Linked DNA regions of Tamandua tetradactyla. The protein of the gene in region 2 interacts with the protein of the main gene of each other region in a pairwise test. Links are inferred from orthologs where the notes say so. Each region holds a gene or a part of one and is shown on either strand. Other genes may lie near its edges. The genes, in order: TGOLN2 and AP2M1.

Region 1 (7,998 bases), on a different chromosome or scaffold from region 2:
CACCTGGTCCAGAATGGTGTATGCTGTGTGTCTGGTCACTGATGTTCCCCCAGCAGTTATTCTGTACCATTCCTGGCTATTTACTATCTGCTCTGGAAGACCAACTAAATTCCACACCTCACTGTGCTGCCATCTTGCCCTGCCCTCCTACCCAATCTAATTACCTGTCCACAGATCTTAAGGTCAACCCCTTGTCCGCTGTTAACCACCCTAGACCTCAGCCCCTCATCTCTGGTGCATTGTTCATCAGTCATCTTATCTCTTCGGTAACCTTGATCACTCTTACAGGAAAGAATGAGTTCTTCCCTTAACTCTTTAAATAACTGCAACCCTCTCCCATATTAGAAACCATGTTTCACATCCAAACTTCCAGCAAAAGTAATTTCCATTCACTGCAACCAGGTTTTGCTTTCATGACTCTATTAAAATTCCTACTTCTAGGTCCTTATCCTATTTCAACCTTTTGCTGTATGTGATACTATTGATTTCACTTTCCTTTTAGAAACATTTTAATGACAACTGGGAACCCCTTGAAGTATATTGAGAAAAGAATCAGTGGAAAACAAGGAGGCGATAGCATCCCAGAAGACAAGTGACACGACTAGTAGCACTAAATGCCACACCACAAAGAGGCCCACAAACTAAGAATTGTACATATGGCTTTGTAACTTGTTTTACTTTCAATTAATCAAACATATGCACATATATGACTAAATAAAAGGAAGAACCATCAAAATATTTTTATAATAGTTATTTCTGGATTACAGGATTATTTTATTTTCTTACTGTGGCTTATCTTTATTAATCTTTATATATTGAATGTATTAATAACTATTATTATCATTTTGGAGCTCTAATCACATGCTAGACACCATGTTATATTCCATGCTTTACATGAATTCTCTCATTCTCAGAATATTTTAATCTCCATCTCATAATAAAGCTGATACTTTCAGCAATTAAGTAAATTGCCCAAAGTCATGGGAATCACTTGTGCAATAAATATTAAAGTACAACAGAAAGGGTTTTTTTTTTCCTATCAAATTGTTAGGTGAAATAATAGAGTGATCTTGAGCAAATTGCTTTATCTTTTCTGTGTCTGTCTCATTTTATAAAGCACCTACTGTATTAAACTTAATAAACAGTAGTTACAGTAGAAAATTAAGAATAATCCAGATGTTTAATAATAAGGGAATTGTCACAACAATTATGATTAACTCATAAATGATTCTTTGTGAAACCATTAGCAAATCGTGTTTTTGAGCAATGTTTAACTTGCTTAGGAAATGGCTCCTACATTTCCCTTTGAACTCCATGCCCAGATTTCCAACTCCCTAACCTCCATTGGATTGCCTCAGAGGCATAAGACACAGAGTCCAAAGCAAATTTATTTCTTGTGCCCCATCTCCAGCAATCCTGATCATCTTACCGTCATCCCCCCATGTCCAATCTTTGTGGTGTCTCCTCCCAGATTAATCTTGAATGGGACCCCTTCTCTCCATCCCCAAGCTAGTCCTACTTGGACTAGTACAGGAGTTCCCTAACTGGTTAACTCCTAAATTAACTCTTTCCTTCCCTCAAAAGGTTTGTCATGTTGCAAACAGAGAATTTTTCAAAAATCCCCAGCTTTGATGATCTTTTTCCTCTGCTTAAACCTCTTCAATCCTTTTCATTGCTGTTAAGACAAAACACAAAACCCTGAGGATGGCCAACAAGTTCTGCAGGATCCGGATTTCTCTTTCCTCCCTTGCCAAGTACTTCTAAACCCCATTTCAAACTTAATAATTTGCTTCCCTACCAAATCAGTATCCTTTAACATTAATCCAATGTTTGTTTAGGGAAGGTAGGGAGAATTTCCTTTTATTAGTTAAAATTATATAAAGAGACATGCAATTTTGTGCATGTAACTTACACCACCAAATTGTATATTCAAAAAGGTTAAAAAAAAAAAGGGAGAAATATTAGGTTTTGTATGTCACCACACACATGCAAGCACACAAACCCTTGTGTCATGGTCAGGTTCATGTGTCAACTTGACTAAGTGGTGGTACCTGTTTGTCTGGCTGGGCAAGTGCTGGCCTGTCTGTTGCAATGAGGACATTTCATAGAATTAAATCATGATCACGTCAGCTGCAGCCACAGCTGATTCCATTTGTAATCAGCTGAGGGGAGTGTCTTCCACAATGAGTGAGGCTTAATCTAATCACTGGAGGTCTTTTAAGGAGGGTTCAGAAGAGACAGACTCTCTTCCTGCTTCAGCTGGTGAGCCTCTCCTGTAGAGTTCGTCCAGACCCTCCATCGGAATTGTTGGCTTCACAACCTGCCCTGCGGATTTTGGACTTTACGTTCCCACGGTCACATGAGACTCTTTTGTAAATTTTATATTTGCGAGTGTTCGTATCGATTCTGTTTCTCTAGAGAATCCTAACTAATACACCATGGAACTGTACAACACAATGTAAACAGTGTGCTAAAGTTAACAGCATAATTATAATAATATTGTTTCATGAATTGTAACAAATTTACCACACTGATGCAAAATGTTAATAAGGAAAACTGGGTGTGTGAGAGATGGAGTATACAGGAACTTGGTACTTCCTGCATGATATTTCTGTAAACCTACAATTGTTCTTATATATATATATATATATATATATATATATATATATATAAATTAAGTATATACAGAAACAAATTCAGCTACCAATTCACTTTCTTTAGCCAAAGCAGTACAGTCCTTGTTCCTTAAAATTAGATTTATGCCACGTATTATTCCTTGAAATTATAAAGAATTTGGACTAGAAACTGCATGTCAACAAACTAAATATTGTACTTCACAGATTCCAGGGGAATATTACTTCCCCTGGCAGCTGCAGTCCTTTTGGCAGGAGTGGGGCTTGGTCACATTTCAGCCCCTTAGCTAGCATGACATTTTCTGTTAATCCAGCCTTACTTTTTGTGCCCCCTAGAGATTTTTGTTCAGGACAACTCCCAGTTCATTGACTCCCAGCCTCTTTCTCAGGCTGGATTAACCTTTAGATTTAGGCAAAATGCCAGGTCCCACCTGCTTCAGGCTTTCCCACTTACTGACAGCCAGGGAAGCTCCTCCTCCCTTCTTTTTCCCCAAGGAAAGCCTACATTCTTTGGCGCTCAGCACCAAGGAGCCGTTCTCAACAGGTCTCATGGGCTTCTGTACCTTTCTTCCTTGACATCTATTGGGGTGCACACACATTTGTACAGATACGCCTTGATTAATATTTCTATGTTACACTAGATTCGTGCAGTTAGGCCCTGTCACTGTTTTAATAGCCACAGTCTACCAAGGGCCCAGCTTGGCAACTGTTCATAAAAGATTTTTAGTCAATGTTTAATGAATAAACATAACACTAACTGTAAATAGTGGAAACAAAAGTATTTACCCAATGTTCTCAATTTAGGAAGATAATGAATATGCATAAGAAAGATATAAAGAAAATATGCAAATTAAGGAAGGGAAAATAAGTACATTTGTATTTAATTAAACAAAACAAAACACTAGATGGAAACACACTAAATTGATAAAAGCCCCTGGCAGGGATTTTTTTAAATCCCGTTTTGATTTTTGGACCATCAAAAGTATTATCTAATAGAAAACACTAAATTTTTGCCAAACAAAATAATACTCAACAGCGATTATCGCCAAGGTTGGGACTAAGGTTTTACTTCTTACTTCTATACTTTCACTAAACTTTCGACCTTGAACATGAATAACTTTTTTTTCCTTTTCTTTTTGGTGCATGGTCTCCCGCACGGAGGGCGAGCATTCTACCACGGAACCACCCGTGCACCCGAACACGAATAACTTTTACGATTTGAAAAAAGATGTTTTTTTTAGAGAAGGGCTTGGGCAACCTGGGAGGAAATTGTTTCGGCGAGGTGGGAGAGTGGCGGGGCAAGGAGGACCCGGGGCGGAGGAATGGGAGAGTAGGATCCGGGGCCCCGAAGGGCAGGGCGGGAACAAGGGTGCTGTAAGGGAGGATGTTAACAAGGTTCGGAGCGCGGGAGGGGAAGGCGGGGCCGACGTGGAAAAGGCGATAGGGTCCTCCGCAGGGGCCGCGCAGCGCCGCCGCCGGGCAGCCCCGCCCCCATACCAGAGAGCCAATGGATGGGCTCCAGGAGGTAGGACGGACGGGGAGGTGGTGGGACCACGGGCCCGCGCACGAGAATCCCGCACGCGCATCTCGCGAGAGTGGTTGAGGGCGGAAGCACGGCTCATGCAGGATGCGGTTCCTGGTTGCATTGGTTCTGCTGAGCGTCGCGGCCGGGGGTAAGACCCCCGCTTCTCAGATGTCACTCTCGCCCTCAGACCCACCGTACTTACCTCGGCCCCTCACCTTCTGGGCTCTCTTCTTCCCTTCCCGACCCACCCCTGCACGCGCCATCGTCCTACTCCTCCCCACCCCCACCCCGGTCCTACCGTTGTTTCCCCCGCCCCGGTCTCTTCCAGCCCTAAAGGGCTTCTTCTCCCGGCGTGACTCGCCAGGACCAACAAACGCCTTGTATTTCAGGAGCTGAACGGAACTCGTCCAGCTCAACGACAGTTGCCGATAATCTCGACCACCGTCCTGAAGAACCAAAGGCTGAGAGTCAGTCTTCTGGAGGAAGAAACCCAAGCGAGAACACCGTGAGCCAGCCGAACTCCAGTGGAGGCAGTTCGTACTCCGTAAATGCGTCCTGCGTAGAAGGCTCTAACAATACGGACCTTAGAAAACCGTCCCTCAGAGTAGACTCCAGCAGTTCGAACCCGGAAAAAACGTCCTCCAAAAAAGGTTCTAGCAATCCGGGCCTGAGAAAGCTGTCCCCCGAAGAAGGCTCCAGCAGTTCGAACCCGGAAAAAACGTCCTCCAAAAAAGGTTCTAGCAATCCGGACCTGAGAAAGCTGTCCCCCGAAGAAGGCTCCAGCAGTTCGAACCCGGAAAAAACGTCCTCCAAAAAAGGTTCTAGCAATCCGGACCCGAGAAAGCCGTCCCCCGAAGGAGGCTCCAGCAGTTCGAACCTGGGAGAACAGTCCCCGAAACAAGGCTCCAACAGTTCGGACGTGGGAAAACAGTCCCCTAATAAAGGCTCTGGCAGTTCGGACCCGGAAACACAGTCCCCCAGTGAAGGCTCCAGCAGTTCGAACCCTGGAAAAGAGTCCCCCCCAAAAGGCTCTAACAGTCCGGACCTAGGACAACAGCTGTCCACGAACGAAAGCTCTAGCAAGCTCGGGTCCAAAGGATTATCTAATGGCGAGGATGCTGACTTGGAGAGGAAAGCTGACAATAGAGAGCTTGTCATACCTGTTTCTAAGACAGAATCTGGGGAGAAAGTATCAACAGACAGTGACCGCACTTCTCCCCGGCAGGAGGGAGAAGATAAGTCTTTAGCTCCTACTGAAGATCTCCAGCCCAAGGAGCCTGAAGAAGGCAATACAGAGCCTGAAGAGGATTTACCACCCAAAGAGATGTCAGGCCCTGCCCCCAGTGAGAACCAAGAAGGTCCGCTTTTGAATTCCGTGAATAGCAGGGAATCCAGTGTCCTTTATAAGGGCAGTCCTGGAAGTGCTAGTGCAGAGAGCAGCCACTTTTTTGCGTATCTGGTGACCGCAGCCGTTCTTGTTGCTGTCCTCTATATTGCTTATCACAACAAGCGAAAGGTAAGTCAAGAGTTGCCTTAGAGAGGGGAGATCTTGGTGTATGGGTCAGCAGCCCCTCCTTAGCCCAGAAGCACTGGAGATTTTAAGACAAACCATTTTTTTCTTCAAACCCTGCTAGGGTCCTTGACGCCTGTTTTATAAATCATTTGTTGCCTATATCATCTATTACCGATTTCCTCTGAGTGGCCTCTGCTGCTGCATTAGGTGCCAAATTGGGATGTTAAGATCTGACCTGAAGTGAGTCCCCCCGCCCATAATCTTGAACTAAGACCCATGACTAGGTTCAGAGGAGCTGAGTACCTGCCGGTTTATAAGTACTTAGAGCATCTGTCTCCCCTTGCTTCTGCTTTTGAGATGTGTGCGTCACGTCTGGCTTCCTTTCTCAAGCTTCTGTCTTCCTTGCACAGTGGCAAAAAGAATGTCTGTAGTGGCAGATAGTCTTACATGTCAACAGCAAGGAGCCCAGGGACTACAGTCAGTGGGGTTTTTGATCTTTAAACAGAAGCCCAGAAATTGCACTTCTTTTGCAGGGTTTGGTGTGAAGTGATATTAGTATCCCTCTGCAAACACTTCAGTGACTAAAGAATCACATTTCCTGTTGAGCCCCAGGAATTTAGAAGACCATCAGACCATGGTTGTAAGGGATGAAAGAAGGCTTTTAGTAAAATTGTGCATCCCTTACTCTACAGCCAAGATTCCTTTGAGGGAAATAGCCTTTGGAGTGGAAAGAGGGAGGGAAAGTTACAGAGTGCAATTGAAGAAGCAAAATGTGGGGTGAAAGTATGTTTGCAGTTGTGAAATAATAATTATTATGATTAAAAAGTAAAAAGGGAGTGCCCTAGCCTGGAAAATTCAGCCTCTGGATCTCTTTGGGGAGGGATTGGCAGACCTGTCAGCTCACTAGTAATATTTGATCAAGTGCTGGTGAGTCAACTCCCACAAGCTAGAGCCCAGAGGAGCTTTCCCGCAATTGTTTTCTGTTGAGGAGTATAAAGGATTCTGATGTAACTGGGTCCTGTCCTACTAAAATCATTAGGATTTAATTAGGATTCTTTGTGGGTATAATGTTCTTTCTACAGTCACGGTCATTAAAAATGTAGTACCAGGATAACTGCCTCTGATTTCAGACCCTGGAACATATCATTACAGAGCCCCCTGCTAATCCTTTCCTTTTTCCTTTCCCCAGATTATTGCTTTTGTCCTGGAAGGAAAAAGATCCAAAGTCGCACGGCGGCCAAAGGCCAGTGACTACCAGCGTTTGGACCAGAAGGTAAGGAAGGAAGAGCCACGTTCACAGAAGTGATTAGCAACCTCAGGTGGGCCCAGAAGCAGGCTTGCACTTAAAAATAGGAGGAATTGGATCTCTGGAGCTGCTGGACAGTGGAGGCATTGAGGTATATGTACCAACCAGGTAGCAGCTAGAAGAGACCTTCAGGTATACCACTTCACTTCCCTCCCTTGACAGATGAGGAAACTGAGGCCCAGCAACATTTTTTTTTCCTCAGTTCCCAGTACAAGTTAGTGGCAAAATGAGGATGTGATAGCAACTCTCTAGATTCCTAAATCCTGTGCGTTTTGCACTATACTAGCACTTTGCACATTTTAGTAGGCATACAAATCATCTTGGAATCTTTTTTTTTATTGTGGAATATAACATAAACAAAAAAAGCAATAAATTTCCAAGTACATTTTAACAAGCAGTTTTAGAACAGATGTTAAAGTTTGTTATGGGTTCCAGTTCCATGATTTTTCATTTTTTCTTCTAGCTGCTCCAAGACACTGGAGACCAAAAGAAATATCAATATAATGATTTAGCAGTCATACTCATTTGTTAAATCCTATCTTCTCTGTTACACTCCTCCTCTTTTTTGTGATGAATAACATATACAAAAAAGCAACAAATTTCAAAGTACATTGCAACAATTAGTTGTAGAACTGATTTCAGAGTTTGGTATGGGTTACAGTTCCATGATTTCAGGTTTTTACTTGTAGCTGCTATAAGGTACTGGAGACTAAAAGAAGTATCAGTATACTGGTTCAGCAGCCATACTCATTTGTTAAACTTTGCCTTCTCTGTATAACTCCACCATCACCTTTGATCTTTCTCCCAATCTTTAGGGGTATTTGGCCTATGCCCATTCTAACTTCTTCGTGTTGTTGATAATATGGGATAGGGACTAGCTCATGTTATTTATTTATTTATTTATTTAGGGTGCATGGTCTAGGAATCTAAACCATGTCTCCTGCATGGAAGGTGAATGTTCTACCACTGAACCACCGGTGCCCCCTCTACTTTTATTTTTATTAAATGCTGTTCGTATGGT
Region 2 (8,592 bases):
GAATGAGAGAAAACAATGATGGGGGCAGGGTCCCCCACCCACCTGTGCCTGGGCGGCAATTTGACAGGCCGCTTACCTATTACTACGGCAGCCAATGAGATGGGATGAGAGAAATGACGCCAGCAAGACGAGGAGAGTGACAGTAACGAGAGAGAGGGTTAGACACAACACACTGGGGTGAGTGGAACACACCATGAGGTAGAAGCAGACAAGTGACAGGCAAGGGGATAGAGCCCAGCAAGGCATGCAAGGTGGTGTGTGCCCTGGCCTTGGCTTAACTGGATCCGTACAAGGCAGGTGGGATGGGTGGGTGTAGCCAACCAGACTTGGGCAGGTCAGGCATTGCCCCAACTCCAGCTCATGCCCCACCACCAGCCAATGGACAAACAGCCACCATGGCCAAGTCAGCCTGTCAGCTGGGAAACCAAGGAGCTAGGGGCTCTGTAACATATCCATTCTGTCACTGCTTATCCCGAGCTTTTTGAGGGAGGAAAACGGCAGGAGGAACCAGAAAAGCCTAGCTTCATTAGAGCTGCTGAGGCTAGGCTATGACCCCTCATTCAGAAAAGAACAGTGGTGAGTAGGTTGCGGCAGAATGAGAGGTGAGGCTCTGGTTCCTTGTTGTAGTCTCAGGGACTCATGACAAAGAACTGTTCTGGGTCTGCTTCATATAGGCCAGAAAGGGAGCAAGGCCTTCCTGTTTTTCCCTCAGTGACTGTGGTTTGCTTCAGGCTTGCTCAGGACCTCTCCTCTAGGAATGGCCTAGAGGAACTGAAAATGGCTGAATCAGCAGCCTGGCTACTTCTGAGAAAGGGGGGGTGGGGAGGATTTGGCAGCCTGGGGAGGTTTTTGAGAGAATCCAGTGAAGGCTCCCACCGTGAAATGTGAAAAGGGCTTTTGAGAACAAGACTTAGTTGGATTAGGACTTGCAGCCTGGCCACTAATTCCACTCAGAGGAGGAATCAACCTGCCTGGGAAAAAGCATTCATTTCCTCCAGCAACCAGGTCTGTCACTAAGAGAAACAAGGAAGCATGAAGGGTAGGAGTCCTAAGCCTGAGGCAGTTACACGATTCTACAAGTCTCACCTAGCAGCCTGCAAGCTGGGTGCCAGGCCAGCACACCTAATGGGAATCAACTTGTACTAGCTGAGCTTCCAGGATGCAGCAAGGGGCGAGGGTGGTACAAGTCAAGCCTCTGCTAGGAATAAACCTAGTCTTGCATGCTGAGGAGAGGGGCAGGGGTAGTAGGGGCATAGATGGCTCAGCCAGAGGACTCACCCGATGTCATCTCGGTAGACCCGGGAGATGAGCACCTCCCCCTTGTGATTATAGATGAATAACCCTCCAATCATGGCGGCAGCTCAGTCTCCACAGTCCATTGCTCTTAGAACAGGCCTAGGACAGGAAGGGACAGGGTAAAGGAAGGTCTAAGAACCCCTGCAACATTCCCTGTAGGGTGGTGCAGGTCACTGGTGGGGCTTTTTTCCTGACTCAATCCTTGAGCAAGTGATCCTGCAGCCCTTCCAGGCATGCCCCTCCCTTCAGCCAGGCTCCAGTTCCTGTTTATTCCACACTGGAAGGACGAAAAAGACTGCGAGGGACTTGGGCCTAGGATCTAGGCCATTTTGACCCTCCTTTTTCTGGGGCTGAGCCCAGACGGTGGCCCCCTCCCCCTCTTCACATCACTGAGCTCAGAGAGGCTCCTTTTTGGCCCCCTCCTGTGCAGATTCTCATTCAGGCTCCAGTTAGTGAGTCACTGCGGCTGGAGGAATGGCGGTAGGAATTACTCCAGCTGGTTCAGGCATGGGGCCCCCAGGCACAGCCTTAGGAGCTCTCAGGATCTACTACCCTTCTAAGAAGGCAGCAGGGCCAGAACTGCCAGCTCTCTAATTCCACAGGCTTACACATTCCAGGAAAGGGTGTGCAGGGTGAGGGAGGAAGAGAGAAGGGAGGCTTCAGGCCCTGACATGGACCTAAGTGTGTGGCCCCAACTTCTCCCAGGCAGTCAGATAAGCAGGCAAAAGAGCCCCCGCCCTGACAGACAGACTATACTTCAGTGACCCAAGCTTTGCTTACCACAGTTATTTTCAAAATGAGAGGTTCCCTCTTAAATCCAGGGGATGGGTTGGAGGTTGATTTTCCCATCTGAATTTCTGTTATTCAGACCCACCAATTAACTCACTTCTAGTCTGAGTGCCCATAAGAAAGGGGCAAGGATGTCAGATATTCTTGAATTACCCAAATTATTTGGGTCAAACTAATTTAGACAGTTTGAGAGGAGAAAAAGAGTTAATTTGGTTCTAGATTTCCTAGGTTAGCCCTGGTATTAATTTCATAGGGGAGAGTTTAGCAGGCTTTTCTAAACTGGAAAGTAGACTTTTACTGTGGCCATCAAGGTCTACCAGACTAGTGAGAAGTCTCTCAGGGTGGTGGACACATCCCAGCCCGCAGTCCCAAAGAAGCTGGAAAAGGAAATGCAAAATGGAGGGAGAGTCCTCGGCAAAGAACGAAGTTCACAGGTATCAAGTGGTAGGTAGCTCCAGGGCACCAGAGCAGCAGAGTTGGGGCCCAGGACAGGAATGGAATATTTAGCCAAGGGAGAAGACCAGCAGCCACAGCCAGGCGGCATACTCAGGTGAACCCATACAGCGGGAAGTAGAGCTACGAAGGCGCCTAGAGGAAAGAGTTTCTAGTCTGGAAAAGGTGGGGCTGAGGAGGAAAACCCGGTATGGACAGATTGACAACAGTGAATAAAAGAAAGCTGGGGAGACGGAGTCTGCTCTGCGGTTTGGGTGCAGAGGCGTAAGAGGGTAGTGGGCTTTCCGCCCAGTGGACAGGGACCGCCGCGGGAAAAGATGGTGCAGCGGGGTGCGGGCTGTGTCAGAGGACTGAGACCCTGGGAGGAGGGGGGTGCCGGGGCTGGGAGACTTGTCACAGTTCACGGAGGTGGATCGGGGGGTGTCACTGTCCTAGGAGATGGGAGAAACGTCCTTGCGCCGAGAGGAGGAGGCGCCGAGGGGTAGAAGGTTTGTCACGATCTTGGGGAGGGGGGAGCCGCGCGGTGTCCTTGCTCTGGGAAGATTCTAGTGCTTTTCCCTCTCCCACGAAGCGCCAGGCAGGTCAGGTGGACGCTCCCTGACCATCCCGCAACCGCGCCCGGGGCGCCCGAGTCTCGCCGTCAGCTCCCTCCCGGATCCGAGGGCTGAGGCCACTCCTGGGTGTGGGCAGCTTTCCGCGTAGCGCCGTGCAGGCAAGGGCAAAGCTGGGCGGCTGGATAGGCGACCCGCGGCGCTTTTCTCCACCCCTCAAAGCCAGATCCCGCTCTCACCTGGTGTCTGCGGCCCCCCGCTCGGCCGGCCGGGCCACTCCAGCGATCCCAAGATGTCCGCCCGCCCCCTGCTCGCCAGCCCGCTGCCTCGGCTTTCACCGCAGTGCCGCGGCCCCGCCCCGACCTCTGCTGCGCGTGCGCGTTCGTCCTCTGCCAAGACTACAAGTCCCGTCAGACCCCTCGGCCTTCTCGCTTAAGTTGTGAGAGGTCTAAGTTTAGGAAAACTACAACTACCGACAGCCTTCGGGAACGCGCCCCGCCCTTTGGGCGTAGCCTTTATTCCATCCCGTCCGAAATACACATCCCCGCGTACGCCGCCCCGCCCACCCTATTTTCCCCACTAGGCATTCTGGGAATTGTAGTCTCTGCTTTTACCCCTGTTTTGGAGCGGCTTAGAGGATTAATGCCGCTTGATTGAAGCCCATCTGTTAAGCACTCTATTGTAGGCCTTTTCAGTCTCCGGAGTCCGAGGATTGGCAGTCCTTACTTTACACACAAACATACGATTTGGCTGTAAAGAGTGGGTGCTGAAGTTTACCGCTTTCTAATAGGCAATCGAATCTGATTTCCTAAGCTTTTTCATCATATATTTGGTCCAATAACGTACCTTTTTCCAGGAATCAAGACCCGCAAGGAGAGTGGGGGCAAATACTTGGAAGAAACAAGCTGAGCTTTTCATGGATAAGTCTATGTTCTATCTCAGCTATGTCTATATGATTGAGCTCCTCAAGGCCAGGACCTGTATGCCTTCTAGTTACAGAAATATATATTGCTCAGAGATATGGTGAGTTGACTTCAACTGGGCATGGGATTTGAAATCCTCTCTTTGATGGACAGTTAATCTTCACATCCAAGCTGAGAGGAGACAAAGCCAATCCTCAAACAGGAAATGCCTGCCTGGCCTTTGCAGGACCTGACTGAAATCTGCTGGCTCTTCTTCATCTGACAGAGATGGCATCCTGCCTTCCCTGGGCAGGGCTGAGCCTGTCCTGGGAGGAAGGAAGGGCAAGAAAAGAAACCTGGTCGCAAACCCTACCATCCCTAGCATCCTCCTGCCGGAAGCTAGAATGTGGCAGGATGATCTGGCCTCCCTCAAACCATAATCACAGCCTGATATCACTAAATAAGTGAATACAGGCACTTCTGAAGCTTGAACCAGCACTCAAGGCTTCTGTCCCACCTTTCCAAAAGCTTTATCTTCCACACATATCTCTTAAACTCCTGCCAACTCAGTCAATAATAGTAACAATAACAACAGTAATAATAATAGCTACCATTTATTGAGCACCTACTCTACTACGTGCCTGGCACTGTGCTAGGCACTTTTCGTACAATATCTAATTTAAATCCTCACAACAACCCTGTGAGGTAGGTATTATTATCGTCATTTTACATATGAGGGAACTGAGGCTCAGAAAGATTAAATGATTCTCCTAGAAGGGGATGACTGAAAAGTAGTAGAGCTGGTATTCAAACCCAGAATGATCTGACTCCAAATCCCATACTCAGTGCACTAAAGTAGAGGCAGAGGGGAGAGGAAGGGCCAAATTCAATAGAGATTGCTGGAATAGAGTGGATATGATATGCTGACTGGTAAAATATGGGATGAAGGAATTATAGCCCATAAATGTTCTAGTTTATGAGCTTTTGTAGATGTGGTAAAGATAACCAGGATAGAATTCAAGAACATACTTGGTGGGGAAGATGATGACTTGAGTCCACATGGATATGTCCATAGAGTCCAGTGGATAATAAGAATACAGATCTAAAGTTTAGTGGGGAAGTTGGGGCTGGACAGATATGGGAACCACCAGCATATCAGTGGCAATTGAGGACAGGACAATCAATGACCATTTTGGGAATAAGTAGAAAGGAAAGAGAAATAGACCAAAGAAGGAACTTGGGGAGGGGGGGCACCGATACTAAAGACCTGTGTAGTAGTGGAGGAATTCTCAAGAGAGTTGAACAAGGCAGAGTCAGAAAGGGAAGAGAAGTACAGGAGACAGCCCTGTAGTGTGGCTAGAGGAAGCCATAGCCCTGGATAGGAGCAAACCCAGAGCTCCCAGAGGGCAGGGAAGACTGAGCACACTTCCAGCACAGCCCTCTGTTCACCAAAACTCTAGGAAGTATTTGTTCAATGAATGAATGCCAAAACGCTCCTACCTTGGTTTGCCCCAAAGCCTGGCACGAAGGACTTCACCTCACTCTTAACATTCCGACCTAGGTGAGTGTAGGTGAGCCAGGAGATTTTATGGCAGAGACTTAAAAAGAAGTTATGATTTGTTTAAAGGAGAGACTAAAGTAATACAAGAAAACTTGGCACTGTCTAGAAGTCCCAAAAGTTCCCCTGTCCAACTTCAACTGTCTCATGTGTTCCTGTGTCCTTGCTCTGGGGTCATGGTTAATGTGGAAACAAGGAAGCGTGTGTGTATGGTGGGGGCAGAGTGGTAGTGGTGACAATGGCCTTTGTCGGTTGCTTGGGGAGTCCTCTGCTGAGCCCACTTAGAGCCAGCTTATGGGCCTTATCCAGGTAGGACGATGAGAGGATGAGTGTGGGAAGCTTTACAACTATGATGAGGGGAGAGGGAAGTCAGGGAACCGGCCCCACAACCTGGGAAAGAACTGGAAAAGAGGGGTTCAGTCCTCTGAGCAGGGACCAGCCCTGAGATTAAGCAAACTTGTATAGCCACCTTGTGCGGTGTGTGTGTGTGAAAGAAAAAGAGAAGTAGAGAGAATGAGAGAGAGAGAACATTCACTTTGGAAAGGTGATTGGTGAGAGGCTGGGGCCCTCCCAAAGAAGCCTAGTGACTCAATAGGCTGAAAGTGTGGGTGTGGGGGCTGGACATCCTTGGGGAGCCCTGAGGGGCTGTTGAAGTAGGGCTCCTGGTCTCCTCGGAGGCCCTCGCTGTCGACTCACAGAAAGTCAAACAGCCCGAAATTCTTGGCTGCTCCAGGCCCAGGAAAAATTGGGGAAGGAAAAAACAAAGAAAAGAAATATTTCAGGCCCAGAGGTGAGACGAGCCTGTTTGTTAGTAATGTTAGGAGTCTGAAGGAGCCAGCACGCAGGCCAGGCACGGCGGGGAGTGGAGGGAAATTGAGAAGAGATGCTCGCTGGAATGTAATAGCAGCTCAAGCAACTGAGGGACCCTCTGGGCTTCTGGTCAGGGCTGAGCACAGGCAGGGACAGCATGGGTGGTTACTGGAGGTGACTATAGCTCTAGAGTGCAGGGCTGAGGCAGCAGGCAGGGAAAAGTTAGGGGCAGCAGATGAAGTGAAAAAAATTTTTTTGTGTGTGGTAGTTGGGTGGCAGCATTCTGGGGCAAAGTCAAGAGATTTGCACACATGCTTGAGAAGGTGGGTTAACAGGGAGCTGGTGTAGCTGAATGAACGGTGAAAAGGACCTGAGGGGGAAAAGGAAAGAATGGGGTGGGGTGAGCAGGGATCCCGGGACTCTGCTGGGGTCAGCTCCTAAAGTGTGTGTGGAGGGTAAGGTGTGAACAGCAGCAACAGCATGTCTAATCACCTGCAGGCCAGAGAAATGAAGTATCTTGGGAAGTCCGGTCTAGAGGTTAGTGGGTAGGGGGCAGAAGCCCGGCCAAAGGCAGGTTAGGGGCTGCAGAGCCAATTGGTGGGTATACTCTACCCTCCCAGCACCCCATAAGCAGTTAGGGTGTCTGGATTTAGTTCCGTTTATTTCCCTTTCAGGTACCAAAGTAAAAAAGATGGACGGATGGAGAGAGGGACGCAGCTGGCAGGGTGGGAAAGGCTGGCAGTGGGTGAGGGGCCCTGCTCACATCACATCCACAAAGAACTCACTGGGGTTTCCCATGGCCATGCGGAAGGACTGTCTGCTGGCGGTCAGTTCTGGGGGCACTGAGGCCAGGTCACGGCCCGGGGGGGCCCCTGGGGGCCCCAGGGCTGCGGGCGGTGGGGGCATCATCAGCATTGGGGGGCCGTAGAGTGGGGGCACACCAGGAGGCCCATAGCTTGGGTGCGTGTGGTGGCTGCGGAGGCTGCTGGCCAGCGAGTGGTGGCTGCGGTGGCTGTGCTCACTGGCTGCCGGGCCCGAGCGCTCGCTAGGAGCCCGCTCCCGCGGTCCCCGCAGGCTGCTGCGTGTTGTGTGGTCTGACTCGCTGCCACTGCCGCCTGACTTCGAGTCCCCAGCCTTTGGGTCCTTCTCTTTCCGCCGGTCGCTGCCACTGCGGTTGGAGCCGCTGCTCCGGCTGCCTGCAGGGGCCGGGTAGGGATGCTGAAATCCTGTAGAGCGAGCTGGGAGCCCGTCTGCAGCTCCCTTCCACACCCCCCTCTGCCTTACCTTCACTGTGCTGGCTGCTGGCACTGCCCCCGCCATAGCTGTATCCCAGCTCTGGGAAGCCAGGGTGGGGGTTGTAAGGGTGGGGAGGTGGTGGATACTGGTAAGGGAAAGCCATGGGCCAAGGAGCAGCCCCGGGGTGTGGCAAAGGGGCCAGTGTGTCCTGGTCAGAGGCACCACTGGAGCCATCGTGGTCGTGGAGGGACAAGTTAGCCATGTCTGTGGAGGCAAGGGGAAGGCCTGTGAGTTAGGTCTATCCCTTGCCCCTACACATCTTGATTAGGAGAGAAGGGGTCCCAGCCTAGGTTGGGTGGATTGGCTTTGGATAACTGCCCAACAGCAGTGGAATTTCTGATCTGAATGGGAGGAGGGAGCTGCTAGATCTCATGTCTCCTCTGGACCCTTCTGCCACCTGCTGGGGGCATGGGGTGGGAGACCTGGCAGAGACAATCCCAGGGAAAACCTTCCTCAGGAATGCCCTGAGTCACTATTTCAGATGCTCAGTGCCAAATTCTGACACCCATCTTCCAATCCCTTGGAGCCCCCCTACCAAGTTTCTGGCAGATTGTCCTCTGCTCAGTGGACTGGAAGAAGGAGTAAAACTTTATTTGGCCATTTTCTCTTCTCTTCACTTAGAGGTAAGAAGTTGGGGGAATATGGAAGGCTGAGAATCTAGAGAGAAATCAGATATTGCATACCTACCATCCCTGAGGCACGATACAAAACACTTCATCTCATGCAAAGGCTATGGCCACCTTATTAGGAAGGTATCATTTACATTTTTCCAGAGGAGAAAAGTGAAGGCTATAGGTCAACTCAAGCTAAGAAGTTGCTTAGCTTCTCCTTACCTTTCCAGATGAGGTCATTAGTTGGTAATAGGGGGCAGTTTGGGGGAAATTTAAATGAAATGTTGACCCTCCCCTCCCTTCCCCCCACTCCAGTGCCACTGTCT

What was found.
Region 1: the proteins of AP2M1 (region 2) and TGOLN2 interact in a two-hybrid assay, tested with the Homo sapiens proteins (2 studies listed by BioGRID). The link is inferred for Tamandua tetradactyla from reciprocal best matches to the Homo sapiens genes AP2M1 and TGOLN2.

What each region holds. Positions count from the first base shown.
Region 1 is NC_135343.1:59,576,959-59,584,956, forward strand, and holds the start of TGOLN2 (trans-Golgi network integral membrane protein 2), read left to right. Parts: upstream 1-4,195; 5' UTR 4,196-4,260; coding exon 4,261-4,306; intron 4,307-4,547; coding exon 4,548-5,674; intron 5,675-6,860; coding exon 6,861-6,944; intron 6,945-7,998. UniProt on the Homo sapiens protein: May be involved in regulating membrane traffic to and from trans-Golgi network.
Region 2 is NC_135336.1:2,441,046-2,449,637, reverse strand, and holds the start of AP2M1 (AP-2 complex subunit mu), read right to left. Parts: upstream 3,443-8,592; 5' UTR 3,329-3,442; intron 1,396-3,328; 5' UTR 1,353-1,395; coding exon 1,279-1,352; intron 1-1,278. Other genes in the region: DVL3 (segment polarity protein dishevelled homolog DVL-3), read right to left, coding at 7,119-7,555, 7,644-7,859.